4 linked regions of the Notamacropus eugenii genome follow. The protein of the gene in region 3 purifies or fractionates together with the protein of the main gene of each other region. This does not show direct contact. Links are inferred from orthologs where the notes say so. Each region holds a gene or a part of one and is shown on either strand. Other genes may lie near its edges.

Evidence for each region.
Region 1: the proteins of DBN1 (region 3) and GSN purify together in Homo sapiens (co-immunoprecipitation; 3 studies listed by BioGRID and IntAct, counting the BioPlex papers as one, with this or other methods). This does not show direct contact. The link is inferred for Notamacropus eugenii from reciprocal best matches to the Homo sapiens genes DBN1 and GSN.
Region 2: the proteins of DBN1 (region 3) and TWF1 purify together in Homo sapiens (affinity purification with mass spectrometry; 3 studies listed by BioGRID and IntAct, with this or other methods). This does not show direct contact. The link is inferred for Notamacropus eugenii from reciprocal best matches to the Homo sapiens genes DBN1 and TWF1.
Region 4: the proteins of DBN1 (region 3) and HOMER1 purify together in Homo sapiens (co-immunoprecipitation; 3 studies listed by BioGRID and IntAct, counting the BioPlex papers as one, with this or other methods). This does not show direct contact. The link is inferred for Notamacropus eugenii from reciprocal best matches to the Homo sapiens genes DBN1 and HOMER1.

The regions. Positions count from the first base shown.
Region 1 is NC_092872.1:442,108,542-442,116,646, forward strand, and holds the start of GSN (gelsolin), read left to right. Parts: upstream 1-5,011; 5' UTR 5,012-5,016; coding exon 5,017-5,145; exon of another isoform or gene 5,146-5,148; intron 5,149-5,310; exon of another isoform or gene 5,311-5,357; coding exon of another isoform or gene 5,358-5,381; intron 5,382-6,312; exon of another isoform or gene 6,313-6,384; intron 6,385-7,171; coding exon 7,172-7,376; intron 7,377-8,105. UniProt on the Homo sapiens protein: Calcium-regulated, actin-modulating protein that binds to the plus (or barbed) ends of actin monomers or filaments, preventing monomer exchange (end-blocking or capping).
Region 2 is NC_092874.1:211,907,848-211,915,265, forward strand, and holds the start of TWF1 (twinfilin-1), read left to right. Parts: upstream 1-4,210; 5' UTR 4,211-4,351; coding exon 4,352-4,376; intron 4,377-4,516; exon of another isoform or gene 4,517-4,817; intron 4,818-5,982; coding exon 5,983-6,060; intron 6,061-7,418. UniProt on the Homo sapiens protein: Actin-binding protein involved in motile and morphological processes. Inhibits actin polymerization, likely by sequestering G-actin. By capping the barbed ends of filaments, it also regulates motility.
Region 3 is NC_092872.1:414,375,160-414,382,348, forward strand, and holds the start of DBN1 (drebrin), read left to right. Parts: upstream 1-4,150; 5' UTR 4,151-4,425; coding exon 4,426-4,511; intron 4,512-7,189. UniProt on the Homo sapiens protein: Actin cytoskeleton-organizing protein that plays a role in the formation of cell projections. Required for actin polymerization at immunological synapses (IS) and for the recruitment of the chemokine receptor CXCR4 to IS.
Region 4 is NC_092875.1:473,553,854-473,561,440, forward strand, and holds the start of HOMER1 (homer protein homolog 1), read right to left. Parts: upstream 3,202-7,587; 5' UTR 3,104-3,201; coding exon 3,099-3,103; intron 1-3,098. UniProt on the Homo sapiens protein: Postsynaptic density scaffolding protein. Binds and cross-links cytoplasmic regions of GRM1, GRM5, ITPR1, DNM3, RYR1, RYR2, SHANK1 and SHANK3.

The sequences.
Region 1 (8,105 bases), about 28 Mb from region 3:
GGGGGAGGAGAGGGTGGGAGGGATGAAGGGAAAGAGAGTATTTGGAACTCAAAATTTTAAAAAACAAATGTTAAAAAATGTTTTTACATAAAATATTAAGAAAATGAAATATCACTTTGGCAACCATGTGGAGCATGGATTATTGGAGAAAAGAGGCAGGAAGTTTAATTAGGTGACTATTACAACAATCCAAACAAGAGATAAAGGTCTGAACTAGGATGGTGGCCATGTGAGCAAAGAAAAGGGGATGAATGTGAGAGATATTGGTGAGGCAGAATTCACAAGAGTGACAACTATTTGAATGTCAAGGGTGGGGAAAAGGTCAAGCATGATTCTGAGATTAGGAACATGGATGACTAGAAGAATGTTGGTCCCCACTGTAAAGTAGTGAAGTTAGGAAGAGATACTTTGTTTTTTGAAGGTGGGATAGAGACACAATGAGTTCTATTCTAGACATGTTGAGTTTGAGATGCCCATAGCATATTAATTTAGAGATGTCTGATAAGCATTTGATGATGTAGGAGAGATTGAGGAGACGGATTGGACCTGCATAGATAAGTCTGTATGTTATTTGTATGGGATTGATAGTTAAAGCTATGGTAGTTGATGAGATCACCTAGAGAAAATTTGGAGATAGAAGAGAAGAGAGCCCAGGACAGAACCCTGAGTATTGTATACCCACACATGGGGATAGGATAAGAATGATAATCTGTAAAGGATACTAAGAAGGAGATGCTGACAGGAAGGAGGAGAAGCAAGAGAGAAGAGTGATAAAAATCCAGGGAGGAGAAGATGTGTAGGAGAAAGGGGTGACCAACAGTATCAAATGATGTAGAGAGGTTAAGAAAGTGACAAGGACTGAGAAAACACTGCCTGATTTGACAATTAAAGGATCATTGGAGACAGCAGTTTTAGGTGAGTGATCAGGTTGAAAGAGTTGAGAAATGAGTGTGAAATGAGAAAATAGATGCATGGAGTGTAAATTGCTTTTTCAATTTGTTTGGCTGTGAAAGGGAAATAGATATAGGAAAGGAGCTTGAGGCAACGATAGCATCATATAAAGGTTTTCTTAGGAATGGAAGTGAGTTGTTCATATTTAAAGCAGCAGGGAAAGGTACAGTGGCTAGAGATTGAAAATTAATGCAAGACCCTCCCTCTCTTGCAGAGGTGAGAGACTATAGGTGTGGTATCTTGCATATATTGACAGTCGTTGCATTGGTTGATTTTTTACAGAATTGGCATTTATTTTTCCTTTTTAAATTTTTTTTTTAAAATAAGCGATGGCTTTCTGGGAAGAGAAAGGGGAGGGGAAGGGATAGGTTTAGGAATGATATCAATGCATAAAGAAGAGAAATTAACAGAATTAGGATTAAAAAAAATTTGAGAAAAAAAAGCAATGGTTGAAGGGGCAGGCTCTTGGATAGGATCAATGGCAGAAGCTGAGGGGATGAAGTTTGGAAGAATGGTCATAGGGTAAGTCTGGAGGTGGGGATAGGGATGGGAATGTGAAAATGACTTTAAGTGTAAAGTTGAGGAGAAGGAGATGGATGGCCTCTAATTTTTTTTTTTTAGTGGGGTATTTGGCAAGGACCTTTGTTGAGAGAGAGGGATACTGATAAGGTAACTTGAGGAAAGAAGAGGTTTGGAAAGATGGTGAGGGACGTGGGATATTCAAAGCAGCACTCATTGAACTACTAAGGAACTAGAAACCAAGTGGGTGTCCACTGGCTGAAACAAAAATGTTACAAGAATAGACCACAGATATCACTGTACAGCAAGAATGACAAAGGTGTGGAGTTAAGAGAAACTTGAGAAGATGTGTATAAACTGATGCAGAGTGAAGATAAGTAGAACCAAGGAAACAATATTTACAGCAATGGAAGCAAAAGAATGAAAAATACCTCAATATTCATGGCAAAGAGTTGGGAAGGGGTGCTACTTGGACGTGTTATGTGAATGGTAAGATGTGGTGGTGGTTGTTGTTCAGTCATTTCAGTCATGTCCAACTCTTGCTGACCCCATTTGGGATTTTCTTGACAAAGATACTGGAGTGGTTTGCCATTTCCTTCTCTCGATCAATTTACAGATGAGGAACTGAGGCCAATGGAGTTAAGTGACTTGCCCTGAGTCACGTAGCTAGTAAATATGTGAGGCCAGATTTGAATTTAGGTCATCTTGTGCTTTATCCACTGCACCACCTAGCTGCTCCTCAAGATGTGGTTACTGTCTAGAAAACCTTGGTTTAAATGTTTTTCTTCTTCAATCTGTACACCCCTCCTCCCAAGGTTGTGTTATAATGTATTTAAAATCTTAAATACATTTTAAATTAAATTTAAATACATTTTAAACTTAAAAATTAATTTTTTTTAAATGGGGGATTTGGAGGGAGAGTAGAAATGCCCTGGCCTTAAAAGGCAGGAGAGATCTGGTTTTGCATCCTGTCTCTGATACTGCTGAAGAGCTGTGCAACCATGAGTAAGTCACCGAACTTCTCCGAGTTTCGATTCATTTACCTTTAAAGAGAGGATTACAATACTTATATTACCTAAATTACAAGGTTGTTTGGAAGAGCCAGTGAGATGATGTGTGTAAAATGCTATATAAATGTCGGTCATTATTTCATTATTGCTTAGTGCCTTAGGTGTCCAGTTCTGGTGATAAATAATGTAGGATTATAAAACCATTTAGAATGAAATCCTTGACCTCAGGGGGCTTACAGTCTAGTTTGGAAGACAGGACGTAGAGAAAGTTATGATGATAATTAGACTGTATGGATTGTTCTTGAAGTGAGAAGACATGGGTTTGATCCTCTCCTTTGATGATTCCTGATTGTGATTCTGGGCAAGTCATTTCCGCTTTTGGCACCTCAGTCTCATTATCTGAAAAACAAGGAAAAGAATACTTGCCCTCTGTGCTGTAAAACAATTAGATTAGATTGTTTTGAGGAAGGAACTTTGTAGGCCTTAAAGAGAACTGTTACCATTTATTACTGTTATTAATCTTAGAGTGTTAGAACTTGAATAGGATCTCAGAGATCATTTTATCCAACCCTTTAATTTTACAAGAAAGGAAACAGACCTAGAGAGGGTGGGATAGGAATGGAGAAAGGAGTAAGCCTGAGTGAACTGTAGTTTAAGAGGCATGCTTGGAGTGTGGATGGAAAAGAGGTACAAAGAGGACTGGAGAAGGAGCTAGGAGACCTAGGTTCTATTCTTAGCTCTATCATGGCCTTGTTACTGTCATCTTGGGCAAGGATGCTATCTATTAGAGCTCAAATTTCTACATCTGTAAAATGGATATAAGAATCCTTATCTTGCCTACTTTATAGTTTTCAGAGATGGTGAAAATCTTAAAGATCATTTCAAATAACAGGGATTCTTAACCTTTCCTGTGTGTCATAAACCCCTCTGTGAATTTGGGTGAAGATGATAGATCCCTTTACAGAATAAAAGTTCACTGGTTACATTCATAATTAAAGGAAAGGGTAAAATTTAGTTGGATGTTAGTGAAAATAAAGATATTTTTTCCCCACTCAAATTTATAGACCCTCTGAATTCTATTAACAAAATCCTTGAGGGTCCCCTGGGGTCCATAGAATCCAGATTAAGAAACCCTGCTCTAGGGATAGTGTTACAGTGTAAAGAGCACTGGATTTAGTCAGAACAATTGGGTTCATATCCTAACTGTTGCTTACTACCTGTGTGACCTTGGACAAGTCACTTTTATTTCTTAGTACCATATTGTCATTGTTAGTGTCACTGTATATTGAGAATGTTGGATTAAATGGCTCTGATGTCAATCGATCAACAACATTTACTAAGAATTTACTCCATTCCAGGCAATGTTATCACAACCCAATTCTCAGTCCTCCTCCTCTCCCCTCTCTGTCCTTCAGATGAAGGAAATGAGGTCTAGAGATATTAAATAACTTGGCTGAGGGATAGTTTGTGACAATAGTAGGTAATAGAACTGGATTGATACCTTGGCTTTCTGACTGCAAATCACTTGCACTAAACACTTCTTCAGAGAGTTGTTGGTAGGAGCAAAGGCATGTGAGAGCACTTCACAAACTATAAAGGGCTCTAAATACACATGCAGGGGATTATTATTAGAGGTTGCTAATGGAAAGAGCCTTGGACTTGGTAGTCCAAAGATCAGTTTCTACAATTTATCAAATTACCTTGGAAAAGTCATTTTCTGTAAGCTTCCTCAGTTTCCTCATCAGCAAAATTCAAGTAATGACATTTGTGTGCCTTACCTCATAGTGTTGTGAAGAAAGAAAAAGACAACCTTAAGCTGTGGACAATGTTACTATTACCAGTCTCTGCAAAATGGAGGGAACAATCCCTGCCCTAATTACCATCATTGGGATGCTGTGAGAATACAATGTATGTAAAATGTACTGTAACCTAGCAAAGGGCGATACAGACATGGGCTGTGTTTATGCAGGAGGCTGAGGAAAATAAGAGATGTAGGTGATATTCAGGTAGAAAGAGCATTAAAATTAAAGTCAGAAGACCTGGATTCAAATATGAACTGCCGTATTCTAACTCTGGGGCCTTGGATAAACCACTTTCCCTCTTTGGGACTCAGTTTCCTTCTGGGTAAAATGAGGGGGTTTGGATTCAATAATTACTAAGGTCTCTTTCATCTTTAAATTCTGAGATCCTAAGGATGGGGTGGTAGGTCCTGGTCTTTTTCACTGAAGGATCCCTGGAGTCCCTTCATGGGTCAATCTGAACATCTCCCTCCCTCCCATCATCTCCCAGCGACTTTGCCCCATACTCCAAAAAAGGCCAAGGGCAGGGACGGGGAGGCTGGATTGAGGAGGGCCCTGGGTCCTGAGCCAGGTGGCAGCTGCTTTGGATCTGTACTCACGTGGGGAGTTGGGGCGGGTCCCCACTGTGGCTGGGCGGGCCAGGTCACCTTATATTACTGGCCCTGCTGCTGGTGGGAGAAGGACGCAGCCAGCCTTCCCTCCGTCTTCTCGTCTCTCCTCTGAGCCTGGGTAGCAACATGGCCCACGGCTTTCTGGTGCTAGCGGCTCTAGGCTGCCTTCTGATGCGGGCAGGCTGCGGGCATGCCGGCGTCACCCCGGGTTCGCTGGTCTCCCTGCTTACAGCCACCGTGGCGCTGTCCGCGGGGGTGAGTGCCTGGCGCCGGCGTCCCCCGCTCTTCCCAGTCCGCTAGGGGGGATGGATCTGCGCCGTCAGGGGGGGAGGGAGGGAGGCAGGGACAGAGGGAGAAGGGGGGAGGCCGGGGCTGTGAGCTTCCTCTCCTAAACAACCCCATTTAACTCTCTATTATAAGTTTTTTCAGATACAACGCTAGGAAAAGGGGCATAATTAAGGTCTATAATGGAAAAACTATTCTGTTGCTTTGTAAGTATGATTTCCGGTCGCGGTTTCAAGCTGGACCCCTCTTTTCCTCCCTTTGGCTGTTATACTGGGATATTTACTAATCGACAGCATCGCCTTTGGAAGTACTCTTCTGCCTTCTTCAGCATAACCAACTGCTCACCTTCCGCAATCTTCTTTCTTCCTGGGGGCAGAGTGAATGGGTGCATGCGAAAAGTTTTCTCTCCCTCTTGTGTCCAGCAATGGGATGGACCCCGCCCCAGCAGAGACCCAGGGATCGATTTCGATTGATCTCGGGGCTGGCCTGTGTTTGTCCTCCGAATGTGCAAACACCATTTGACTGTTTGCTGCTGGGGTGTGGGTGGGTCGTTCCGGGAGGGGCTATATAGGGCTTAAAGTTCGGGATTTGTCCTGGTTGTCTGTGAAGGAGGTGGGGGGAGTGGGGCAAGGCTGTGGCGGAAACAGGCACAGTCTGGGTGGTCTTTTTAAGTGGCTGTTTGTGAGATCTGTGAAAGGCTATGCTTTAAAAATTTGCACTGGCCAATCCAAGGTACCTAGATTCTGGAGAAAATGATGGAGAAAAGGCAACTGTTCTTGGGATTTGGATTTTAGAGCTGAAAGGGACCTTCAAAAACAGAGACTGTTAAGGCTGGAAGGGCCCTTAGAATGTAGTGTCAGACCCCAGACAGTAGAATTTAGAGGTAGAAGGAAGATTAGAATGGAGGATGTTAAAATACAGACAATGGGGCTGAAAAGGACCTCGTTCCAACCTCCTCTTTTTACAATGAGAAAACAGACCCAGAGATGTCAGGTGACTTATCTAGGTTTCTCAACTATTTAGTAGCAGAGCTGTGTCCAGAACCTAGGTCTCGTCACTCCAAGTCCAATGCTCTTTAAAATACCACCATGCTTTGGAGCCAGACTTCGGAATGCTTGTTTGTTTGTTTTTTTAAAGCTCCACCAAAAAGGAAAAAGGGAAATCCCATTTGATTTCAAGCTCTGATCAAAACTAAGGAATGGAGTTGGGGTGAGAAGTACAATTTTTCTATCTCCTAAATATTTAGGAAAGGAGATTGGAGGCTCCAGAGTAAAGGGGAGAGCGATCATGGGTTCCCTAGCTGAAGGCACTGGGTTTTGACTGCCACTTAAATCAGTTTTCTGCCTTTGTGCCGCCTTGCTGCCTTAAGTGTTCAGAATTCAAGCAAATAGGATTTGTTTGGTATCAAGAGAGAGAAATTGGAAGTCAGTGGAGGATCAAGAAAAAAGGAAAACAGAGGAAGGATTCTAAAAGAGAAATTGAAAAGGATTTGGAGAAAGGATTCTGGGAGCCCTCCATGTTGGAAGGTGGGGGTAGAGAATGATGTGAATCAAAAAAATTAAAGTTTGAGCTGGATAGGGTCTTAAAACTAGAATATTAGAACACAGACCAGAGAATGTTAGAGCTAAAAGGGATGCTAGCCCAACCTCCTCATTTTACTGATGAGGAAACTGAGGCCCGAAAGAGAGGAAATCCCTTGTATAAAATGACCTAGTGGAAGAGTCAGGGATAGAGTCCACATATCCCAATTCTCATCTCAGTATTTTTTGTAGAAATGCGCTACAGAAACCCCATATCTTTCCAGGATACTGGTTGCAGACTGCAGAAGATTAGGTGTTTCTCTTTGAGTCCTGTTTGAGATCTTAGTTTTCCTCTGCAGGAAACCATTGTATCTTCATTTGAAATTGACTCTGGTCCTGGAACTTGAGGACTTTTGCTGCATTTACCCCTTTGTGGTACTTTTTCCTCACCTCTCTTCATCCTTTTCTTTCCCCAGCCTGTCAGCATGGTGGTAGAACATGCAGAGTTCCTGAAGGCAGGGAAGGAGCCTGGCCTGCAGATCTGGAGGGTGGAGCAGTTTGACTTGGTACCAGTACCCAAGAACCTGTATGGGGACTTCTTCACTGGTGATGCATATTTAATCCTGAATACCATCAAACGAAGGGATGGAACCCTGCAATATGACCTCCACTTCTGGCTGGGTAAGGAACTGGCGTTCTCTAAACCTCTTCCTCCATCCCTGAGCTGAGTACCTACTGTGCAGGGACTGAATGACCAGAGGTTGTTAACGATGTCATGCAAGGGGGATTTCTACATAGGCTAGAAATTCAGATTCAGATCTCTAAGGTCTTTGCCAACCTTAACATTCTAAAAACAACATTCTATGTTCTAAACAACTCTAACCTTCTATGTTCTAACGTTCATTCTAAAATTCCTTTCAGTTCTGATGTTAAAACATATCCAATTTTAAAGTGCTTTCACTGCTTAAAGAGCAGTGAAAATAAGGCTCGAAATAAATCTCCCTCCCAGTCTTTAGTGTAAGTGCCATCAACAGGAAATTCTGGCACCTTTATCAGAGGCAAAGTCTCATTATCATTAATAATTCACTATAGTAATTAGAGTGGTGATCAGTAGATAGAGAAGAAAGGGCACAGCTGGTGATGAAGCTCAGAACCTGTGACCTGGGGAACCACCAGGCCAGGGGGAGAATTATCTGATAGTGAAATTAGCACAAGGACATTTAAAGAGATTATTCTATGATAATCAATCAATAAACATTTGTTAAATATAAAACATAGACATGAACACTTTTGGGTCCTGAATGTGGGATGCTAGGGAACTGGTAGCTTTCATCTTCTGAACCCAGGTTTGTGTTCTAGTCTTAGAGACCTCTCAGGTCCTATTAGGAGATTTGGGTTTGAATCCCAGCT
Region 2 (7,418 bases), on a different chromosome or scaffold from region 3:
TACATTTTTGTGTCTGTTTAAGGCCATGTGGCCTCCTTGGTAATATGTTGTTATGAATTGTGAATGCTTTGGTTTCTTGAATAAGATTTAGTCTTGAGTAAATAGAGGGCTTATACTGTGTGATTTGACCCTAAATAAACATATATTCACAGTAGCAGCCCTCAGGTGTGCTGTGCTGATTGTCGTTACACCAGGAGAAAGAAAAAGCAAAACAACAAAAGAAAATAGCTGCTTCGATTTGCATTCAGACTCCATATTTCTTTCTCTCGATGAGGATGGCATTTTCCATCATGAGCCTTTTGGCATTGTTTTAGGTCCTTGCATTGCTGAGAAGAGCTAAGTTTATAAAAGTCAGTCATCAAACGTTGTGGCTATTACCGTGTGGGCAGCTAGGTGGTGCAGTGGGTAGAACACCAGTGCAAGAGTCAGGAGGACCTGAGTTCAACTCTCACCTCACACACTTGACACTCACTAGCTGTGTGACCTTGGGCAAGTCACTTAACCCCAACTGCCTCATCCTGGGTCATCTCCAGTCATCCTGATGAATATCTGGTCACAGGATTCAGATGGCTCTGGAGGAGAGGTGAGGCTGGTGACTTGCACAGCCCTCCCTCACTCAAAAACAAAGTCAAGTGCAAATCATGTCATCATTTCTCTAATGGCATGGTCTTCTTCGGCAATGAAGGACAAATACACTATTACTGTGTACAGTGTTCTCCTGGTTCGGCACATTTCACTTAGCATCACTTCATATAAAGCTTTCCAGGTTTTTCTGAAGTCTGCCTGCTCATTATTTCTTATGGAACAATAGTATTCCATTACATTCATATATCACAACTTCTTTAGCCATTCCCCAGTTGATGGGCATCCCTTCAATTTCCAGTTCCTGGCTACCACAAAAAGAGCTGCCACCAATATTTTGTATATGTGGGTCCTTTTCCCATTTTTATGATCTCTTTGGGAGATAGCCCTAGAAGTAGTAAAATAATTCAAATATTGTGGAGTCACAGTCAAAATAACACAAGATTTAGCAGCTACCACGTTAAAGGATCAGAGGGCTTGAAATATGATATTCTGGAGGGCAAAGAAGATAGGATTACAATCAAGAATTCAGAAAAAATAACTATTTTCCCTGAGTTTTCAAGGGGAAGAAAATGGACATTCAATGAAATAGCATTCGAACATTCCTGGTGAAAAGACCAGAGCTGAATGGAAAACTTGACTTTCAAATACAAGACTCAAGAGAAGCATAAAAAGGAAAGAGAAATCATAAGAGACTCAATAAGGTTAAACTGTTTACATTCCTACATGGGAAGATGATACTTCTCACTCCTAAGAACTTTCTCATTATTAGGGCAGTTAGAAGGGGCATATGTAGGCAGAAGGCATGGGAGTTGAATTGATGGGATAATATCTAAAAACAATAAAACTAAGTTATGAGAAAGAAGAATGTACTGGGAGAAGTGACAACAGAGAGGTAGGATGGGGGTAAATTATCTCACAGAAAAGAGGTACAAAAGAGATTTTACAGTGGAAAGGAACATGGGGGAGGTAGAGGATGGGAGAAGGTGAATCTTACTCTCTCTATAATTGGCTCAAAAAGGGAACAACACACACACACACACACACACACACACACACACACACACACACACACCCAGTTGGGCATATAAATCTATCTTACCCTACAGTAAGGATGAGTGAAAGAGGGTGCTGATAGAAGAGAATGCAGATTGCAGCAGGCCATAGTCAGAAGCAAAACATTTCTGAGAATGCGCAGAGTGAAAGGAGAGAAAGAACAGGATAAACAGAGGGGAAAACAGAATGGAGGGAAATACATAGTTAGCAATCATAACTGTGAAAAATAAATTTTACAGCAAGTATTTCTGATAAAAGCCTCATTTCTCAAATATATAGAGAGCTGAATCAAATTTATAAAAATAAGAGCCATTCCCCAATTGATAAATGGTCAAAGGATAAGAACAGGCAACGTTCAGACAAAGTAATCAAAGCTATCAATAGTCATACAAAAAATGCTTTAAATTATTATTGATTAGAGAAACATATTAAAACAATTCTGAGGTACCATCCAACACCAATCAGATTGGCTAATATGACAGAAAAGGAAAATGACAAATGTTGGAGGCAATGTGAGGAAACTGAGACTCTAATACAGTTGTGAACTAATTCAACCATTATGCCAAAAGTGTATAAAATAAGGCATACCTTTTAACCCACTACTAGGTCTATATTCAAAGAGATAATAAACAAAAAATGGAAAGGACGCATGTGTGTATATACAAAAAAATTTATAGCACCTTTTTTAGTGGTGGCAAAGAAATGGAAATTGAGGAGATGCCTATCAATTGGAAAATGGTTGACCCAGTTGTGGTATTTTATTGTAATTGAATGCTATAATGCCATAATAAATGATGAGCAGGATAATTTAAGAAAACTTAGGAAGACTTTCAAGAACCAATACAAAGTGAAGTGAGCAGAACCAGGAGAAGAGTATGATGACAGCAATGTTGTTCAATGATCAGCAGCAAATGATTTATCTATACTCAGAAATACAATGATCCAAGAAAATTCCTACAGACTTATGATGAAAAATGTCATCTAGCTCCAGAGAAAGAACTGGAGTCAATGCAGATCAATGTATACTTATTCAAAACTTTTTTTAACCTGTTTTCTTTCACAATATGACTAATATGGAAATATGTTTTGGAAGAGAAGGAGGGAGAGAATTTCGAACTCCAAGTTTTACAAAACGAATGTTAAAAATTGTTTTTACATGTAATTGGGGGAAAAATAAAATATGAAGTTTTTTAAAAGAAAGAAAAAGAAGACACAGCCCCAGTCTCTCGTTTGAGCTTCCAGATAATGTTTCTAGAGGTTTGAAGGTCAATATATCTGCAGAATCAAGGTTGGGAAAGAAACCACAGCCCATTTTTATCAACTCACAGATATCCTTACCTTCCTCCTTCTGCTATTTCCTTTCAAGTGTGTATACTTTTATCTTCTCCTAACTCACTTTAAATTTCATTTTTCTATGCTGCTCATGTATTCACATTTTATATAAGACTGCTGAAGCTGATGCTTTTTCTTGGCTCTCTTTTTGTATACAAATGAGCCTGTGCTCTGAACATAATAAAACACTGCTAACTATCTCTAGATTGTTGATTTGGTGATTGTCAGCAATACTTCATCTATGGACCCTTAGAAAATTTTTATCTCACTGATACCTATGCTGAAATGAGAGCTCCCATTTTGGATTACTTTCCCAGCTAAGCCACATTATTCAAAAGGGTATTTTTCTATATATTTACAATGTCTTTCTTGCCACTCTCATTTATAGCTCTTTTGGGTTCATCTATTTGGAAAACTTTTATAACTGGTTCAATCCTCCCTCCGCCCCCGCCCCCCCAAAAAACCCTACTAAAGTACTTAAAAATGCTTCAACAATAACAAACATTTGTTAAAACTGTGGTAGACACTATTGACAAAAAGACAAAATTGAAGCAGTCTCTACCACTTATGATCTTACAGACCACTTGGGGACTGAGGTGAGGAGCAGGTTGTAATGTATATGCTGCTAAGTATGATACAAGGAAAATTGAATTCAAACACATCAGTCCTCTCCCCACCTAAAACACAATGCTCTACGGAGGCTTGCCCTGCACCCTGGGCACATTTAAATGACCTACCATGGAGGCACTTTGCCTGTCAGTGTTCCCCATCCTTTGACCGGCTGCACATCCCAGCTCCACCACAATGTAAACTCTATGCACCTAACCAGGAAGGTACCTCGGCCCTCACCTTTAGACCTCAAGGCTGGGGGCGGGTCTTTTTCTCCATCTTTGGCCTGCTCATTTTGAAAGGTAGGCAATGATACTCACAGGATAGGGAATGTGAGCTACTGATCCTAGAGCCAAGAGTCCAAGTGAGATTTTGCAGCTAGCCAGGCTAGCAGGGAAGCTTTGGCAAGGCTAGGATGCCAAGGGTTCAAGCCCAAAGACGGTGTGGCCCTAGGTTAGGACTGTGCTCTGCAGGACCTAAGCTAAACTGTTCATATCCTTATTACTGTACCACTGAAGTAAATATTTCTTGGTACAAGCTAATGTGGCTATTAGCAACCAAGAAGAACCGGGAGCCTCCCACGGCCCGGCAGGGGCTCCACTGCGCAGGCCTGGGCTGGGCCGGCTGGCCAATGCGGCCGCGGGGCGGGGGTGCGTTCTGGTGACGCTCCGGGCCTACGGAGGAGCAGCTACTTCCTGGAGCCGCCAGCCGAGGCCGCTAGTTCTCCCCAATCTGCCCTGGAGGGTGGTCGCCAGGTGCTGACCCCGCCACTATGTCCCATCAGACCGGCATCCAAGGTAAAAGACACACGCGGCCTGTGGGGAGGAAAGGAAAGAGGGGTCTTTGGGCGCCGGAGCTTCTCCAGACGCGAAGACCAGCGGTGGCCAAGGTGGGGTGGCCGGGTCCTCCGGGAAGCCAGGCCTTTTTCCTCACTCACCCTTTCCGTGCCCTGACCACAAGGGCTGGGGTCTGGAGGCTGAGCCGCTGTGGACCCGTCAAGCTTCCCCGGTGTCTAGTGGGGTAAATCCTCAGAGACACTGCCGCGGCCAGTTCCAAAGCAACTCATTCTTTTGGAGGCTTTTGTGCTTGGGAAACCAAATAAATGTCCGGACCGTCTGGGTCCGCGGAGGGAGTATTTCCAGAACTCCTGTACTCATTCATTCCCTTTCTTCTACGGTTATTAAATTAGGATTCATTGCTCTCTCAGCTCTTGGACTCCTCATTGGAAACTAAGGGTCTGCTGGTGAGCTTGTGAGTTTTTTTTCTCCGTAATGGCAACGGGGCACCTGTAATCCTATCTCACCTGTAGTTAGTTCCTGGTTTGAATAACAAGTAGGCTGGAAGCACTCACCTGAGCTGAATAAAATTCTGCTCTGCGATAGTGACTTCAGCTTCTCTTGTGGATTAAAAATGCAAGCCGAAATTTGCCAAGTTCCAAGGATACAAATTATCTTTCTAACTGAAATTATGTTCCATTGTCCCGTCTTTGTTGGAACACTCAGTGCACAAAGATTTTAGAAAGTTGTAACAAAGTAACTTCCACCCTCACCGTGGAGTGATTCCTCCTGTAAAGAATACACCCAAACCTAAAGCTGTGGAAGTTTTTTTCACTGATTTTCTTCGTTATTTAAAATTTTATTGATTTTAATACTTGATATTTGTACACAGCTCACATGATTCCTATACTTGTACTATTTATAGTAACAGTAGTACTGATAATTAATAGTAGGTATATAAAAAATGTTATGCCAGTTTCAGTAGAGTATTTTATATTTTTTGAGATATATGAAGTCTGACAAATGTAGTACATAAACCTAGCTCATTCTAATCATCTGTAAAATCAGGGGGATAATCTGTAAGGTCCTTTTATCTCCAAATTTACTGCTGTGAAATGGTAACTAATGAAATACTTCAAACTCTTGATATTTATATATTTAGGTATATGTACTAGAGAGGTTAAATATTTTGTCCTTGGTCTGTGTTTGAACTCAGGTTCTCTGAAGTCCAAAACCAGTGTTCTGCTACACACTACCTAAATTTTTGATTCTATTTTTAGTTTAGGTAAGAAAGGGTGTTTACTGTTGTTCTTATGGAGGAAAAACTTAATACTGATATATAGTAACTAAAGTTAGTATCTATCTTTAATGCAAAACCTGTATAGTGCAAATATGATTATCTCTTTTATAGATGAGAAAACTCTGAGATTAAATAAACACAACATTACTGATTTGAGTCCATATATTTTTTTTTTCATTAATCCTCAGTATCACGATTAAAGTGAAATATAAACTGGTAAAAATAGTGTCTTTTCTGAAATGTTTTAATATTTTACCTTGTTTAAATTATAAAAGGAAAGAATAAGATTAATGTGTACTAACTTTTTCCATTTTTTTTTTCTTTCAGCAAGTGAAGAAGTTAAAGATATCTTTGCCAGGGCAAGGAATGGGAAGTATAGACTTCTAAAGATTTCGATTGAGGATGGTAAGTTTAAAACAAATTTTTAACATTGTTTGGTAAGAGGTAGAACTTTTGGGGAACTTTCATGTTTGTGATTTGAGATACTCGTATAAAATTAAGAAATTTTGCAGTTTTTTACTTGTATCTTTTCAGGGTTAAAAATAACTTAGTTCCTGCAGATTTTGGACAAGTACCTATCTGCAAGTAACTTACTTTTTGATCTTATGAGCCTCGTGTTTTTACTCCTTCTATATGCTATAGCTGCCTATCAGTGAGAGAGGAACATGGCTCAAAATCTATATAATTTTTTTCCTTCTTTGTATTTATGCGTCTATATTTTGCCACACCCATTTTTTGTTTCTGTGCTCCTACATCAGTAGATGAAATGGGTAAACAGATCATAAATTTCAAATTGGAAGGGACCTCAGAGGCTTTCTGGAGTAGATTATGAAATTTGTGGATTTTTTCCCTTTGAAGCATTTCTAGTAATTCCTATTGAGTGATCAAATTATAGATATCATATAATTCATTATTAATTATTTTTTTACCATTTTAGGCATTGAGCAGAACAGAAAATAGGCACAATCAGTCCCTGTCTTCTGCCTACATGTGAAAAATGTATATTTTCCAAATACAGACAGGTATAAAAATAGTAACAGCTAACATATATTTGCCAGGAGGGGCAGCTTCGTGGTACAGTAGATAAAGCACTGGGCTTGGAATCTGAAAGACTTCAGTTCAAATTTAGCCTCAGACCCTAGCTGTGTGACTCTGGACAGGTCACTTAACCTCATTTGCCTCAGTTTCCTTGTCTGTAAAATGAGCTGGAGAAGGAAACAGCAAACTACTCCAGTATCTTTTCCAAGAAAATTCCAAATGGAATTTTGAAGAGTCGGACATGACTGAACTACAACAGTGTGCCAGGCACTGGGCTAAGTGAAGGTTAAATGACATACTTTGAGTCCCAGAGCTAGGACATGTCTGAACTTGGAAAATAGCTTGAAGATATGACAGAGTTTACTGAAGAATTTTTCATGATTTGGCATGAAGAGATTGAAGTTTTTATGTATAAAGGGGATAATTGTGGGGGTCACTCCACAGTACATGAGATTATCATGTTCCAGGATTTTTAGCTGTTGAAGAAAAAAATGATACTCTGAATTTTAGGAACAAAGCTTCCAGAAATAAGTTTTTATTTAATTTAACATTGTTTCTAAGTTAAAGGCATTTGTAGTTTTAGAATGAGAAGTGTCCAATCTGGCATAAGACACTCGTGCACTCTGACATTTCTCTATCTCAAGATGATTTGAAGTAATATTAATTGGAATCTTGAATAAGAACAAGATAATAATACGCTAAAATACAGTTTGGGTTAACAGTCC
Region 3 (7,189 bases):
ATATCCCTAATTTTACACATACACACATATTGTGGATGTGTGTATATATGTACATGTGTGTATGTGTGTATATCTATATATCTATATATAGATATACACATAACTAGAACAAGCATATAAGGCCACAAGTCATTCATTTATGGATATGTGGTCAAAGAATATGAGCAAATAGTTCCCAAAAGAATTACAACCTTAGTAAAGATTGCCCCAAGTCATTAATAAAGAGAGAAATAGAAATCAAAACAATTCTGAGGTTTCTCCAAACACCCAGCTAATTACCAAGGTTGACAAAAAATGGGAATCAGTAGCTTTGGAGGGACTAAAGAAAGAAGGAAATAAGCATTTGTTAGCATTCACCAGGCACTGTGCTAAGAACAATGTCATTGGATCTTCCCAGTCACCCTGGGAGGTAGGTGCTATTATCATCCCCATCTTACCTAAGGTCATACAGCTAGTAAGTATCAGATGATAGATTTAAACTCAGGTCTTCTTGACTCCAGGCCTAGCTCTTTTTTTTTTCCTTTTTTAAAAAATTAATTAATGTAAAAAAAAATTAATGTATTAGTTTTCAGTTTTCTACAATCACTTCCACAGATCTTAGATTTTCTCTCCCTCCTTCCCCCTCCATCCCTTCTCCCTCTCCCTTCCCTGCCTGAGATGTCCTGAAATCTTATATGGGTTCTACACATACATTCTTACTAAATACATTTTCACCTTAGTCATGTTGCATGGAAGAATTAAAATGAATGGGAGAAACCATGAGAAAAACCAAACCAAAACAAAACACAAGAGAAAATAGTCTGCTTCATTCTGCAATCCAATTCCGTACTTCTTTCTCTGGATGTGGATATCATTTTGCCTCAAGAGTCCATTGGGAATTTTTTATGTCCTTGCCTTATTGTGAAGGGCTAAATCTACCAGAAAAATTCTTCTCACACTGTGGTTGTTGCTTTGTACAAAATTCTCCTGGTTCTGCTCCTGTCACTCAACATAGTTCATATATGTCTTTCTAGGCCTCTCTGAAGTCTTCCTGTTAATCATTTCTTATAGTATAATAGTATTCCACTACATTCATATACCACAACTTGTTCAGCCATTCCCCAATTGATGGGCATCCCCTTGATTTCCAGTTCTTGGCCACCACAAAGAGAGCCAGGCCTAGCTCTTTATCCATTGTACCACCTAGCTGCCTCCAGAAAGAGATGTTTCTTTACTTCTGGTGGAGCTGTAATTGGGCAGATCATTCTGGAAAGCAATTTGCAATTATGCTAAGAAAGTGACTGGAATGTCCCCAGTCTTTGATTCAGAGACCTTACTATATTCAGCATATACCCCGAGGAAGTCAAAGACAGAAAGATCCTATATACCCCAGAATATTTGTAGCAGCATTTTTTGTGGCAGCAAAAATTAATTTTTTTAACTAATTAACTTAAAAACAAAAATAGATACCTATTGACTAGAAAATGATAAACAAGTTGTGGTGCATGAATGTAATGGAATATGAATGAATGAAAATAATCTTTAGTAAGCACCTACTATGTGCAATGTTATAGTGATAAGCCTGGGGAATACAAAAATATAAGTGAGTCTCTGTCCTCAAGAAACCATTTTAATGGGATGATAAAGACTAGTGAAACTTGGTAGTTAGGCTGTGTCTGATGCTTTGTGACTTCATTTGTGATTTTCTTGGCAAAGATATGGAAGTGGTTTTGTTGTTTCTTTCTCCAGCTCATTTTACAGATGAGGAAACTGAGGCAAACAGGATTAAGTGACTAGTCCAAGGTCACATAGCTAGTAAGTATCTGAGGCTGGATTTGAACTCAGGTCTTCCTGACTCCAGGCCCAGTACACTGCACCACCTAGCTGTCCCAAAATTTTATTGTTAGAAGCTTGGTGAGACACATGAATTTATGCAAAATGAAATAAGCAGAATCAGTAAAACCAATGACTACAGGAATTTAAATGGAAAAAAAACCCCAAAACTGAATGCTGTGTAATTAATTACACTACTCAAAAACCATATCCCTTAAAAACATCTTTTTTTCTTTGCAGAGGTTGGGAATTATAGGTGTGGAACCCTACATATACTTTCAGGCTCAGTTACTCTTGCTGAATTGTATTTTTTTCTTTTAAAAAATTCTTTGTTATGAGGGATGGCTTTCTGGGTGGGAGAGGGAGATATATTTGGAAATGAAGGTGATGTAAATGAATAGGGGGATAGAAACAGAAGTTGAGTTCATTTGCAGAGCACAGGAGGCATCATGCTGAAGTAGAGAGAGCCTTGGATTAGGAGTGGGGGGAGGGAGTGTCTGATTTTGAACCTTAGCATTGACACTAACACACTTGTGACCTTGGGTAAGTGTCTCTTCTCTTCCTCTCCCTTTTTCTCAGTTTCCTCAGCTGTAAAATGAAGGAGTTTGGACCAGATGATCTCTAAGGTTCCTTCTTGTTCTGACATTCTAGAATTTCTGGGTTCCTCATCTAGTAACCCTAGGCTGGGTCTATTTGTGGAAACCAAGTCCATCTGTGGAGCCAGAAGCTACTTAGAATTAAGAAAAAGATGAGTTAAAACTAAGTTCTTTTTCTACTCGGATGTCCTCTTGTCTTAGCAAACTTAGGGGAAAATAGATTTTCCCCCCTACCTTGGTGGGAAAATTCATGCAGAAGGTGGGTTTGATCAAGGGGCCTTCTTAAAGTCATTTGGTGGTGGGTTTGGGGGCATTCAGATATAGAAAGATTGTCTTAAGATGCTGATACATTCCCACCTAGGCTGTCTTCTCACAGTCCTGTCCTACTTCTTTTCCTAATAATAACACATTTCTATAGCACTTAAATGTTGACAAAGCACTTTCTCCACAACTCTGGGCTCTTTTCTCTCTCTCTCTCTCTCTCTCTCCATAAAGTGATCAGCCACTTAGATGGCTTCTACAATTACTTTTACATCATGGTTCCCAACATATCCTGATATTTCTTCTAATCTCTACGTCTGTATCTTCAGTTGCCTATAAGACATTTTCACCAAGATAATGGGGGTGGGTGGGGTGTGAGCAGAGTTGGCGATGAGAAGGGGATGGAGTTAGTGATCCTCGAGGAAAAGGATAGAATTCTTTGTTGCAAATAATGACTCTTTGGGAAGGGGAAGGGGAAAAATAGACGTGGGAATTTAGATGATGTAAAAACAAAAGACATTGGTAAAATTTTATTTCAAAAAAGAACAGAATTGGGGATATGAATGGGGACAGACTGAGGACTCAGACAGGGATAGGATAGGGCAGTGATAAGAAATGGCGTAAGAAGAATTGAAAGGGGTTTGGGGAAAAGATAGGAGGATGAAATCGGGTTAGGGATAAAATGGGTGGAAGATGGGCTTGAGAATGGGAATGAGGATATGTAGAAGATTCAAATTGTCAAAGGCAGGGATACAATTGGAGATGGAATGGGGATACAGATGATGATGGGGTTAGGGATGGGAATGAGTTGAGAATAGTTTTGGGAACGGGGTAGATGGGGAAAAGGGATGGTGACAAGATTAGGTTGGGGATGTTGTTGAGAATGGGGTTAGGAATGGGTTGAGGATGAATTGATGATTTGGATGGGCATGGGCAAGGGTTGGGAATGGGATTGGCATGGGGATGGTGTTGAGGACAAAGTAGAGATGAGAATGATTTGTGAATGGCCTGGAGGATGAGGTTGTGTGTAAGAATGGAATGAAGACAGAGGAAGGATGAGGGGGATAAAACATGAGAATGAGCATGAGGATGGACTAAGGGTGGGGACCGCTTAAGATTGGCATGGGTCCAGGGATGGAGGGAGGGACCAAAAATTCCCTGGGCTCTAGCAGAGTTTCTGAGGGAGGTAGGGAGAAGGAAGATGCCTCAGATGGGTGGGGGAAGGCAGTGATGCAGCAGTGTTCCCATAGTACCTGTGCTGTATGCCTGACCATGTAGTGTCACTGGAAAGGGGTCAGTGCGGGAGGACAAGAGGGTTCGGAAGTGGTGGGGCTGGGGGTCAGGAATCTGGACCGGAAGAAGGCCGTTGAGGGTGGGAGGGTAGGGGGCGTGACTATTCCTCCTCCCTCCCACCGGGTCCCTCTTAGGTAGAGACTGGCGCTAGGACCGAGCGGAGTTTGGGCCGGGCGGAGCATCGCGCCCCCCACCCTCCTGCCTCTCCTTCCCCCCTCCCCCTTCCCTCCCTGCCCAGCTTTCTCTCCCTCCCCTCCTTCCCTCCCTCCCTCCCTCTCTCCCCTCCCCTCCCTTTCTCTCCCCTCCCTCCCTTCCCCTCCCCTCCCCCGGCTGGGCTGTGCTGGGCTGTGCTGCGCTGCAGTGTCTCTCTCCGAGGCAGCGGCAGAAGCAGCGGCCCGATCCCTCGCCGCTTTCTCGGCTCTGGCCTCGGCTCCTCCGCAGCCCCCGGCCCGCCGGCTGCACCATGGCCAGTGTCAGCTTCAGCGGCCACCGCCTGGCGCTGCTGGCGGCGTACCAGGAGGTGATCCAGGAGGACTGCCCTGCCGACTGGTGAGCGGCGGCCCGGCCTGGCCCCCCGAGGCCCCCAGCCCTGGACCCTTTGTCCCTAGCCCGCCTGGGCTCGGGGAAGGGGGCTACCTCTTTGTGTTCCCGTCCAGTGGCGGGGAGAAGGAGTTTGGGTGGGAGCCGGAGCCTGGGCGGGACGGGGGCTTCGGGGGATCCCCAGGAGGGCCCCGGAAAATGGTGCATTAGGCAGAACTAGCCCGGGCCCGAGGGGGGAGGGGGCCGCCTTTGTGCGATCCGACCAGGGAGGGAAAGGGGGTCCTCCGGAGGGATGCTCCGGGTGGGGCCGGGCTCGGCCCTGTGGGGCGGGGCCAGGAGCTCGGAGTTGGGGTGTGTGTGAATGGGGGGCTCGTTGGTCGGAGTTGAGCCCTAGGTGGGGGAGGGCTAGGAAAACTCGGTTGGGGTATTGGAGATTAGATCCAGATGTGCAGCCCCGCAGGCTTTAGAAAGCTCCAGGGGATCTTCTCCCTTGGTGACTCCCGGGCCCTGTGTCCCCGCCCGTCGACTAGCTCCGGGCAGGTGTGTGTGTGCGCGCTCCTGGGCCAGCCAAGGGCACCTTCCAGTCCAGTTGGCTGGGGTTTGTTGGGCGGGTGGGTGGGTGGGAGTGTTATCTGTGGCCGGGGCTCCGAGACACTACTGCCCGGCTGAATGAGGGCCCTGGCCCGGCCCGGCCCTAGCCGGCAGCACAAAGGAAGGAGGGAAAGAGGGAGGGAGGAGGAGGAGGAGGAGAAGGAGGGCGCGGTGGGGAGGAGGAGGGATCGAGGGGATGTGTCAGGAGGGGAGGGGGAGGGGAAGGTCTGGGGCTGCTATCTGGAGATTAGGTGATGGGGGAACCCTTTTCGAGAGCCCCGCCCCCCCGGGGGTGCATCTCCATGCGCACCGGCCCTTTTCTTCTTGAGGAATTGGGTCGGGGGAGTCCAGCCTGGGGCAGCAATATTGGAGGCATGGATTTAGTCCCAGGAATATCCCTAGGGATCTTAGAGCAGGGAGAGAATCTGAAGGATATTCCTGATACCACCCCATCATCCTCATCCCAGCTCGGAGATGCCATTTCGACGCCCAGAACATGAGCCCCTCCCCACCTTCTCTGCTTTATTCCATCTCATTCTCTTGCTCCCATGCCTTCCTTTCTCTCTCCTCAGACCCTCCTTTCCCTTTCCCCAATTCCTGTGGATCTTAGGAGGCCATGTGCGTCTGGACCTAGGGATGGAGGGGAGGGGCAAGGAGGGCTTGGATCTTTGAGTCTGGAGGAGTGAACCCCAACAAGCTTGTCTTAAGTCTGGGTGGTGAGATGACTCAGTTTCCTATTCTCTCTAAAAGGGGCCAGTTCTCTGTCCTGGTGCTGGGGTTAATATGGTGATATCTGGGAGGGGAAGGCTGGGAGGATGAGTGTGAAGAAACTAGAAAAGCAGAACTGTGGGGTGAGTTATAGAAGAACCCTGGGTACAGGGAGTAACCCCACAATAGTCTAGTTATGTTACTGTGTGTTTTGTACATAGTAGGTTTTTAATACGTTTGCTGAATTGAATAGAGAACAGACCAGGCTCCAACTCTGTGCTGAGATTGGTAGGGGGTGGGGCCCCTGGGGACAGAATTCCCCGCTGGGCTCTATACAGTGGCCTCAGTCCCACTCTGGGAGTCCAGGTCCAAATAAGAGATAATGGCAGGCCAGAGTATCTAAATCCCAGTGCCATATGGATGCCCTTTGTCCTGAGCAAGAGAGAAAGGCACAACAGCCGTAACTCCTGGGACCCTGGGTCTAGAGGGGTCCCAGTAATAATTTGTGACAGTCTTGAGTTCGGGGGAATCAAGTTAGCCCTAAATCTGGAGGATGAATCCTACTGAGATAGTAGTGAGTGTGGAGGATTAACCCTAATGCACTAGCCCTGATTCTCAGAGTAGGGGTAGTGAATTAACTCTGAGCCCTGTAAGGGAACCAACCTAGCTGTGAGTCTAGGGGGGGAATTGATTCTGGGCTATGTGTGAGAGAGAGCGATCAGAGTTAACTGTGAGTCATGGGGTCGGGGAGGGAGAAAGCTAGCCTTGACCCTAGGGTGACCGCCATGAACTAGCCCTGTTTCTGGGTATACAGTGAGGTAGCTCTGAGTCTGGATGGTTAGTTAGTTCAGGGGACTAGCCATGGGTATATGAGGCAATGAGATAGTGCTGAGTCTGGAAGGAACCCCAATGAGTTAACTCTGCCTGTGTGTAGGGGAGGGGCAGTGAACTAGCTGGCTGGTACTGGGGGAGGTGGCTACAAATCTGGGGGATTTGTGGAGAGGGGTGGGGCAAGAGGCCTTCAGGAGCTGGGCGGGCCCCTCAAAATGGCTTCAGCAGCTGGAATTCCAGCCCCAGCTGCTGGTCTCAACACAGCCCCGGGAGAGGCTGCTGCCACCTGCTGTGATGTGGCTGAAGGTTCTGTCCCTGCCCTGGACCCTTGTTGGGGAGAGACTCCAAGGCTTAGAATCATCATTCTTCCCTTCATTTTCTGGGTTGGGGTTGGGGTGGGCACAAACCTGGCTATCACTGGGTGGGAATAGTCTTTTTTCAATGCCCTGAAGCTCCTTGGGAGGGCGGGGGTACCACAGTCCTGACTCAAGCCCCATGTATATAGCTACTACCTAACATAACTCTCCTCCCATGTTACCCCCTCCTCCCATACCCCA
Region 4 (7,587 bases), on a different chromosome or scaffold from region 3:
CTACGCAAAATTTGAGAGCTGAAAAACACTCTGGCCTAAGTCAACTCAGACAAGAGACAAAACTGATGTCTGGAATGTGAAAAATGACTTGCCCAAAATAAAAATAAGAGTGCCAAAGCCAGGGAGACAAACTTTCAAAGCAAGCACTCCCATCTGTCCTTTTTACCTTCTTGGAAGTTTTAAGATCATTTATTGCAAGCCGTTACCCTCTTTGAAACTGACCTGACTTAGAATATTATCACATTTAAAATTATGCTGAGGACATAAACAGAAAGTGCAAAATAAAACAAAATCAAAACTGACTGCCGAGTAATCGTAAGGACCAAACTGGAGGCTTCCACAAAAAGATATGGGAATGAAACCTGCTTCCTCTCTTGGCAAAGGTGGGATACTGTGGGTGCAGAACACCACCTACACCATCTCTCTTAGTTAATACATTGCTTAGTTTTGTTACATTTCATTGTCATCCTCTTTTTACATGGGATGGCTCTCTGGGTGAGATATAAAAACAAAAAGCAGCAACACAAAATTTGTAAAATAAAAAACCACAGCATCGAACTTCATATTATGTCACTATGTATCATGTGCTGACGGTCCCAAGAGTTTAATCAGTAGCAATGATCAATATTCCGTGGAAAGATTGTGCCCAATTGACTTTTCTTAGTGCACTTGCACTCCTTAGTCTAATATGAGGATGCAGTTCTCAGGAGAGGAGCTGCCACTCCATTTGTCTTCCAACATGCTTCAATCAGAAAAGAAAAACTGAAGCTATTTGAAGGAAGCCATTTTTAAGCTTTCATTTTCAAGAATTTGGAATACTAGAAACACAACATTAAATAAGACCACTTTCACAAAAATTTTAAGCTGTCATTACTTCCCAATTACTGTTGTTAAAGTGATGAAAAATGAGATTTTGGAGAAAATAACTATCTCCCTCTGAAGGAAATACACTTCAGGAAATCTCACTAAGGAGAACAAAAACTGGAGGTGGGATAAGGGGAGAAAAAGAGAAAAAAGCAGAATAAACAATTATAGGTGGAAAAGGCCTTAGAGAACATCTAGTCATTAAGAAACTGAAGTCCAGAGAGATTAAAATGGTTGAAGTGATTGCCCAAGGTCATCCAGGTAACAACAGCAGCGCTAGTGCTCTCTAGATCAGAGCTAGGACTCTCAAGATTCCCAGTCTACTCGTTTTTTCCATTAAGCGTTGCTCCTATCACATAAAAAGACATTTTCCCTATTACTCACACTTGTAAGTGAAAGTTTTAAAAGCCATTACTGTTTCCAAATGAATGAGGAAGTCACTGAACCCAAGAGAAAGCTGTTTAAAATGAATAAATAATATTTAAAATTCTAGCTTTTAAAAAGCATGTCCTGAAATCTTTCCTTAAAGATGAACATGCAGTTTTTTAAATATAAACGTTTTTACAAGATGCAAATCACACTGCTAGAACAAGTTTTGAAAGTCTTTGGCTAAATCCCTTAAACATACATATATTCCTTACATAGGAACATATTCCTTGCATATCTACATACTCCTTAAATCCATATGTAAATTCCTTAAATACATATTGAGGCAGCACCAAAACTTCAAGTCAAAGAATTTGGTTCAAAGTACAGTCTCTGCCACTACCACTGGAGCGACCTTGGACAGATCCTCACCTGTCACATCAGTGAATTTGACTAGGTGACCTTTAAAGTCCCTCCCAGCTCTACATCTATGAACCTATGTTTGAACAAATTAGAACAGAAAGTTCAGGTCCACACAATAATCAATATCAAACACAACCAAAGACTGAAATAGTCAAATAATAGATTTCATAAGTTATTCTAAAACACTGACCCATTTATATGATGGAGAGTCAATAACAAATGGCATACATTACTGTCAGTTCCTACACCATAAAGCTGGCAGTATTTGAAATCGTGTTTCTGAAATTATTCGAAAAATATGCTTAAATTTATACTAAGTATTGATTCATCCTCCTATCAAGATGATTTAAAATGAGAAAACATCACCTATCATCCATAATTTAGGGGAATGTGGGCAGCAAAGTCTGAGAAGTTCCCCATTAAACAGGGTGGGGGAAGAGAGAGATTGGAAGGTTTTTTCATTCAAATTAAAGCCCTTAAATGAAGTTGCAAAATAAAAGACATTCTACCGCAGGAGAAACTCCCCAGAAGCACCTGAAGCTCATAGATACCCTATCTGCCTTGGATTTCCACTTTCATGCCCCAAGGGACAAGTTAACTCTTTCCAACTCAAATTCTGGGCTCCAGAGCCTAAAACAGAAGTCTCGCTCTGTTCCAGCACAGCAGAGTTTATATTGGGGATGCACTTAATTTCCAAATAAATGCCTTTATTACTCGCTAGCAGCCATGAGACAATATGCGGTAGTGGAAAGAGAGGTGTAGTCAGGAAAACCAAGAGTTCAAATCCCACCTCCTGTTACCACTAGCAGGACCCACAAGTCACACAAATATAAGGCTCAGTTTCTTCATGCGTAAAATGAGATTAAGGACAAGCCAGATACCTCATTTACAGGACTGTGGTGCTAGATGAAATAATGTATGTAAACTGTTTTACAAACCTTAAAACGCCATAAAACATCAGTTATTATTATTGTCGTTATTTCTGTTACTTTTACAATTACTTTTTACAACTAACCTTTACAAAGCAGAAAAACAGAAAGAGAAATCAATCTTCTCCCTTCTCCCCCCTTTTTTGGCGGGGGAGGGGAGAGAAGGGGAGAGACTACGGTGAAAACCAAACCACAGAATTCTGTAATGACTGGTACTGGAAGATTTCAGAATTCTAAGAAGGATTTGTCTGGTGGAACACTAACATTCAAATTGTGATTGCATTCAAGAGACAAACTCAAGGTCCTTCAAAAGACAACTTCTTAGGCCTTAAGTCACCTTTAAAATAAGACGACCCTATAAAGACGATTCTTACACCTGCGGACTTTCAAGCTCCATAATCAGGAATTTAGCCAAGGATAGGAAAGTCTTTTGTTTAAAACATACCCATTCCTCACCCCACCCCCACCCTTATCTTCTACTTAGAACATTCGAAGCCCAGTGCAGAAATTCCTTACCCCATTTTGCCCAGTGCAAACTTCTGCCGAAGTTGCTCTACGGAAGAATTTCCCAAGGAGTCTTTCCAGTGGCTTCAGCGCCGTCGATTCCCCACGTGATCCGCGCGTGTCTGGAGGTATTTCAAGGATGTTTCCTCAGATAAGTGAATGTCTCGCGTGGAGATCCCGAACCGTTCAAAGCAGAGGAGGTGGCATCTGCTTGCCAGAGTTAAAATGCCGCGCCGGGGAGCAGCGGAGGCCAATGCTCATTCCACAGCGCGAGTCCGCGTGGGTCGGTGCACGATCCAGGTTCATGGAGTCCTACAAGAAAGCAGTTCGGCGGACGCTGCTCGCATGTCCTTTTGCACAAGGATGCAGTCCCCGCGCCAGGAGCTGGCAGGAGGCTCGCCTTCTTTCTCCGAGCTGCAGGGAGAGCGAGCGGCGCGTTCAAATCTCCCTGGCACCCTGCAGGTCTACCGGGTGGGGAGCGCGACACCACGGGGCATGCAATTTAAAAACTGGTAAAAACAATGGAAATCAAAGCCCAAAAATGGGGAGGAAATGCAACGGTTTCTGTCCCCTTGCAAATAGAAAAAGATTTTTTTTTTAAATAGAAAAATCTCAAAGCGCAAACCCAGCAGCTCCCAAACGTGCACGATACTCCTAGGAGGCGAAATCTTTTCCCTCCCCCTCCTCTAGGACTCAGAGCATGGAGGAGGTGGGGAACAGGAAGAGAAGGCTGAGGAGGATCGATTCAATCTCCAGAAGAGAATAAATGAAGCCATTTCAAGGCTGGCAGCAGGAGGGGAGAGCGGCAGCACATCTCGGGGAAGGCGGCCCCCCAAATCTCACCTCCCTCTACCTCCCCCCTCCTTATTCGGCTGAACACAATGGAGCCTGGCCTGCGCTGGTCCCTTCATTCACTGCTCTTTTTTTTTTTAAATTAAAAATATATTCTTATTCCTCTCCGTCTCTCTGTGTCTCCCTCTGTCTCTGTCTCTATCTGTCTCTCTCGTTCTCTCCCCCTCTCCCCCTTTATAGCCAGAGGCTGCGAACCTCCCAGCCAGCGGAGAATGAATGAATCAGAGACAGCCGAGCCCCCCACGCTTCTCCCCAGCACCGAGCCCCCAGCAGTACAGTGCGGACTGGAGGCAGCCAGAAGAGAGGGAGGGAGGGATGGCTGGCTGGATGGATGGATGGAAGGATGGATGGTGGGGGACGGAGGGGAGGGGATTTCAGTATCAATTGGCTGCACCGGCCCGTCAGAGGATGCGATCGGTTCTGCCCACCCGCGGGGGCCCGGGAAATGTGGCTCCGGGGTGCTCGCTGGCAAGCTGCAGCCGAGGGAGCCAGCTCACATGCCTGGCCAGTCCTCCTTCTCCCCAGCCTCACACCTCCATCCTCACCCGCCCCCGCCTCGATCTCTCCTCGCTCTCCCGCGCTCCGAGGAGGGCACCAGCCCCGGCCCGGGCCGGCCCCGCTCGCTACGGCCGCTGCCTCCTCCGCTGCCGGGCTCCGGGGCAAGCAGGCGGGGAGGCTGCCTACCCCACCGCTGGCTACCGCCTGGGAAAAGGAGGAGGAGAAGGAAGAGGAGGAGGAGGAGGAGGAGGAGGAGGGAGGGAGAATGGCAGGCAGAGCAGGCGGGAGGAGGGAGGAGGAGGAGGAGTGCAGCGGGGGGCAGGGAGGGTGGCAGCGCGGGTGGCAGCGCGGTCTCTCGGTCCCTCCCACTAGCAGCAGAGGAGGCAGACAGCGCCAGCGGCCGCGAAGGAGCAGCCGCTCCCCGGCCTCCCGGGGAGGAAGGCGACGGCCCGGCCGGGGGCGATGGGGCGCGGGGCTATGCTCCAGCCGCTCCAGCCGCTCCAGCCGCCGCTGCCCGCGGGGCCCTCCCCCCGGCCTCCCTTAGACGGCCCCGGCCGGCCGGCAGCTCCTCGGCCCAGCCCCCGCCGCCGCCGCAGCCTCTGCCCGTGCCCACACCAAGCTCGTTCGCTGTGTCTCCATCCTCCCCTCCGGAGGACCTTTAAATAGCAACGTCACCGCGTTCCCCTCCGCACCCACGTCACCCGCCGCTCACGTCACCGAGGTGCGGGGGATGACGTCACGCGGCCGGAAGGACTGCTAAATTAGGGAAGAGTGGGGGGGAGGAGGAGGCGCTGCCAGGTTCCCTGTGCCCACCTGCGCCCAGGCCCGGGAGAGAAAGCCCAGGAGGGGATGGGAAGGAAGCGGCGGGAGGGAGGGAGGGGGGCTTTTCCAGCAAGGAAGAAGCCAGATCCTGGTGAATCATCTCCAGCCACCGCGCCCCAAGTGTCAGCCGGGTGATTTCCTCTGTCCCACTCACTGCTACTGCTGTCAGCAGTCTCCTTGGGCTCCTTGTGTCCCCGCCAGCGATAGCGTGTGGGAGGGAAAGCCCTGGCTCTTACCGGTTGCCAATAATGCTTATACCGCATCCTAAGTGGATACTGTTGTAAAGAAATCACTGGAGCTTGATAAGTATCCAGTCCGTGCCCGTGGGCATGGCACTCTACAGCAGTGTTACAGAACGAAAGACAAGTTCTTGATTTCCTAAAGGTGGCTTACCAAGAAAGTTTATCCAAAAGGAAGTAGCTAAATCGAATTCCAAGTTTTTGTGAATCCCGATAATTAAGAAATTCAGTACCTAAGAAAACAGTGGAGCTAGTTCCTTCTTTTCTTAATTTGGAAAACTTTGTTATTGTGCTCCCAATAGTTTGGGTCAGTCCTGATCACAAAAAAATACCACCAACAGAGATCATTTTCATTTTAGGATTTCTGTAAAGTGCCATTACGTATGAGGCATGCCTTTGTCATGCTCTCATGTTTTGGCTTTTTACTGAGACTGCTGCCAAGGATTATCACTTATGTTCATGATAAAGGCGGGCAAGGATCCCCAGCCAAAAGAAATTTAAAATGAAAACATCTCCATTTCTCCCGGCCTCTTTGGATATGAGCAAAAACCTACATTACAATATTTTTTCTACATATATAAGACGGATGATTTAACTGGCGTGAATGTGCAGTTAAGAAGAATTGATCAAGTGCCTGTTATGTTCCATGCACTGTGCTGAGTGCTAGGGACACAAATGTAACAGCCACTACCCTGGTCTGAATTGCCAGAAGGCCAGGTTATGCACCTCTCTTTCATGGTTCTCCAGTGCTCACAAGGGAGTTATGGGTATCCAGTCTCCTTGTCATTGGCTCCAGCCCCCACCAATTCTGTTCCTTCAATTTTAGGGCTCCCCTACAACCCAGTTCTACTTCACCACCTAACAGCCAGATTAGCTTTTACAAAAGAAAGTTTATTTCTAAAGTGTAGCAAGAACAAACGTAAATGTGTCACCCAACATGGAATAATACACACACACACTCATACCCCTATCCAGGTCAGATTCTGAAATGGGAGGAGGATGAGGTTCACAACTCAGCTCACTTCCTGTACATCTTGAGCCTACCCTGGGTTAAGTCCTGCCACCTTCAGTTCTCAGGCTTCACAGATGGACTGACAACAAAATCCCCATTGGAATCCTTCTTCTAAGGGACTTGAATCCCCCAGGGACTAGAGATTCCCTTATCTGGACCTAGAAGTGAAAAGGGCAAATGAAAGAGACCCAAACCCCAAGTCCAGGGTCACAGGGCCTAAAAGGGGTGAGGAGAAAAGGACTATCTCTCTCAATAGTTCAGTTCATGATGCCTGTCCTGAGAGTGAACAGTTCTTTCACCCCTCTGAACACAACTGGAAAGAGAGAAATTAAGAATGTTCTAGCCTGGTAATTTTAAACATACATCCTGTTCCAACTATGTAGCCAATGGAAAAAGGCTACTCCCACCCACATGGTAGAAGAATGCAGAATGTCTTCTCTCAGAAGCAGGGCTTTAGCATCTCCCACAAGTTAGGTTATCTGGACATATCCATTACACAAGAAAAAACAAAAACCAATCTCTATTCTCAAGGAGTTCACAGTCTCCTACATCATAGCAGAATTTTACTTTTCCCCAATCCAAGGGACTGGTCTTTGTGAGTAACTGGTCAGGAAAATTCCTTAGCTGATGGCCAAACTAGTGGCCATGGGCCTCTTCGAAATCAGTTAGGCTGGTTCGGAAATGTCAGACACACAGACACACATTGCTCTCCTACAATACACACTTGCTTGGCTGGAATTCAAAGCCTTTCTAGCTTGGGACCTACCAGAGCTAATGCTTTACTGACATAACCGTTGATAACCGAGAGTCATGGGATCACAGATTTAGAGCTGGTAGGTAACCTGAAAGACCCCTCTAGTACAATCTCCTGATTTTATAGTGGTGGTAATCTCTCCAAGGTGACAAGGCATCAGAAAAGGACTTCAGTGGGATCTTTGGCCAGCTAACTTTTTGTATTTGGATGCTTACTAAGATCTGTTATTTGGAATCCACCAATAGAAATTATATACATGGATACAAGTCATGTAAAATGCTATGCAACCTATTAGAATACAGATTGCTATTCTACAAATCTCCA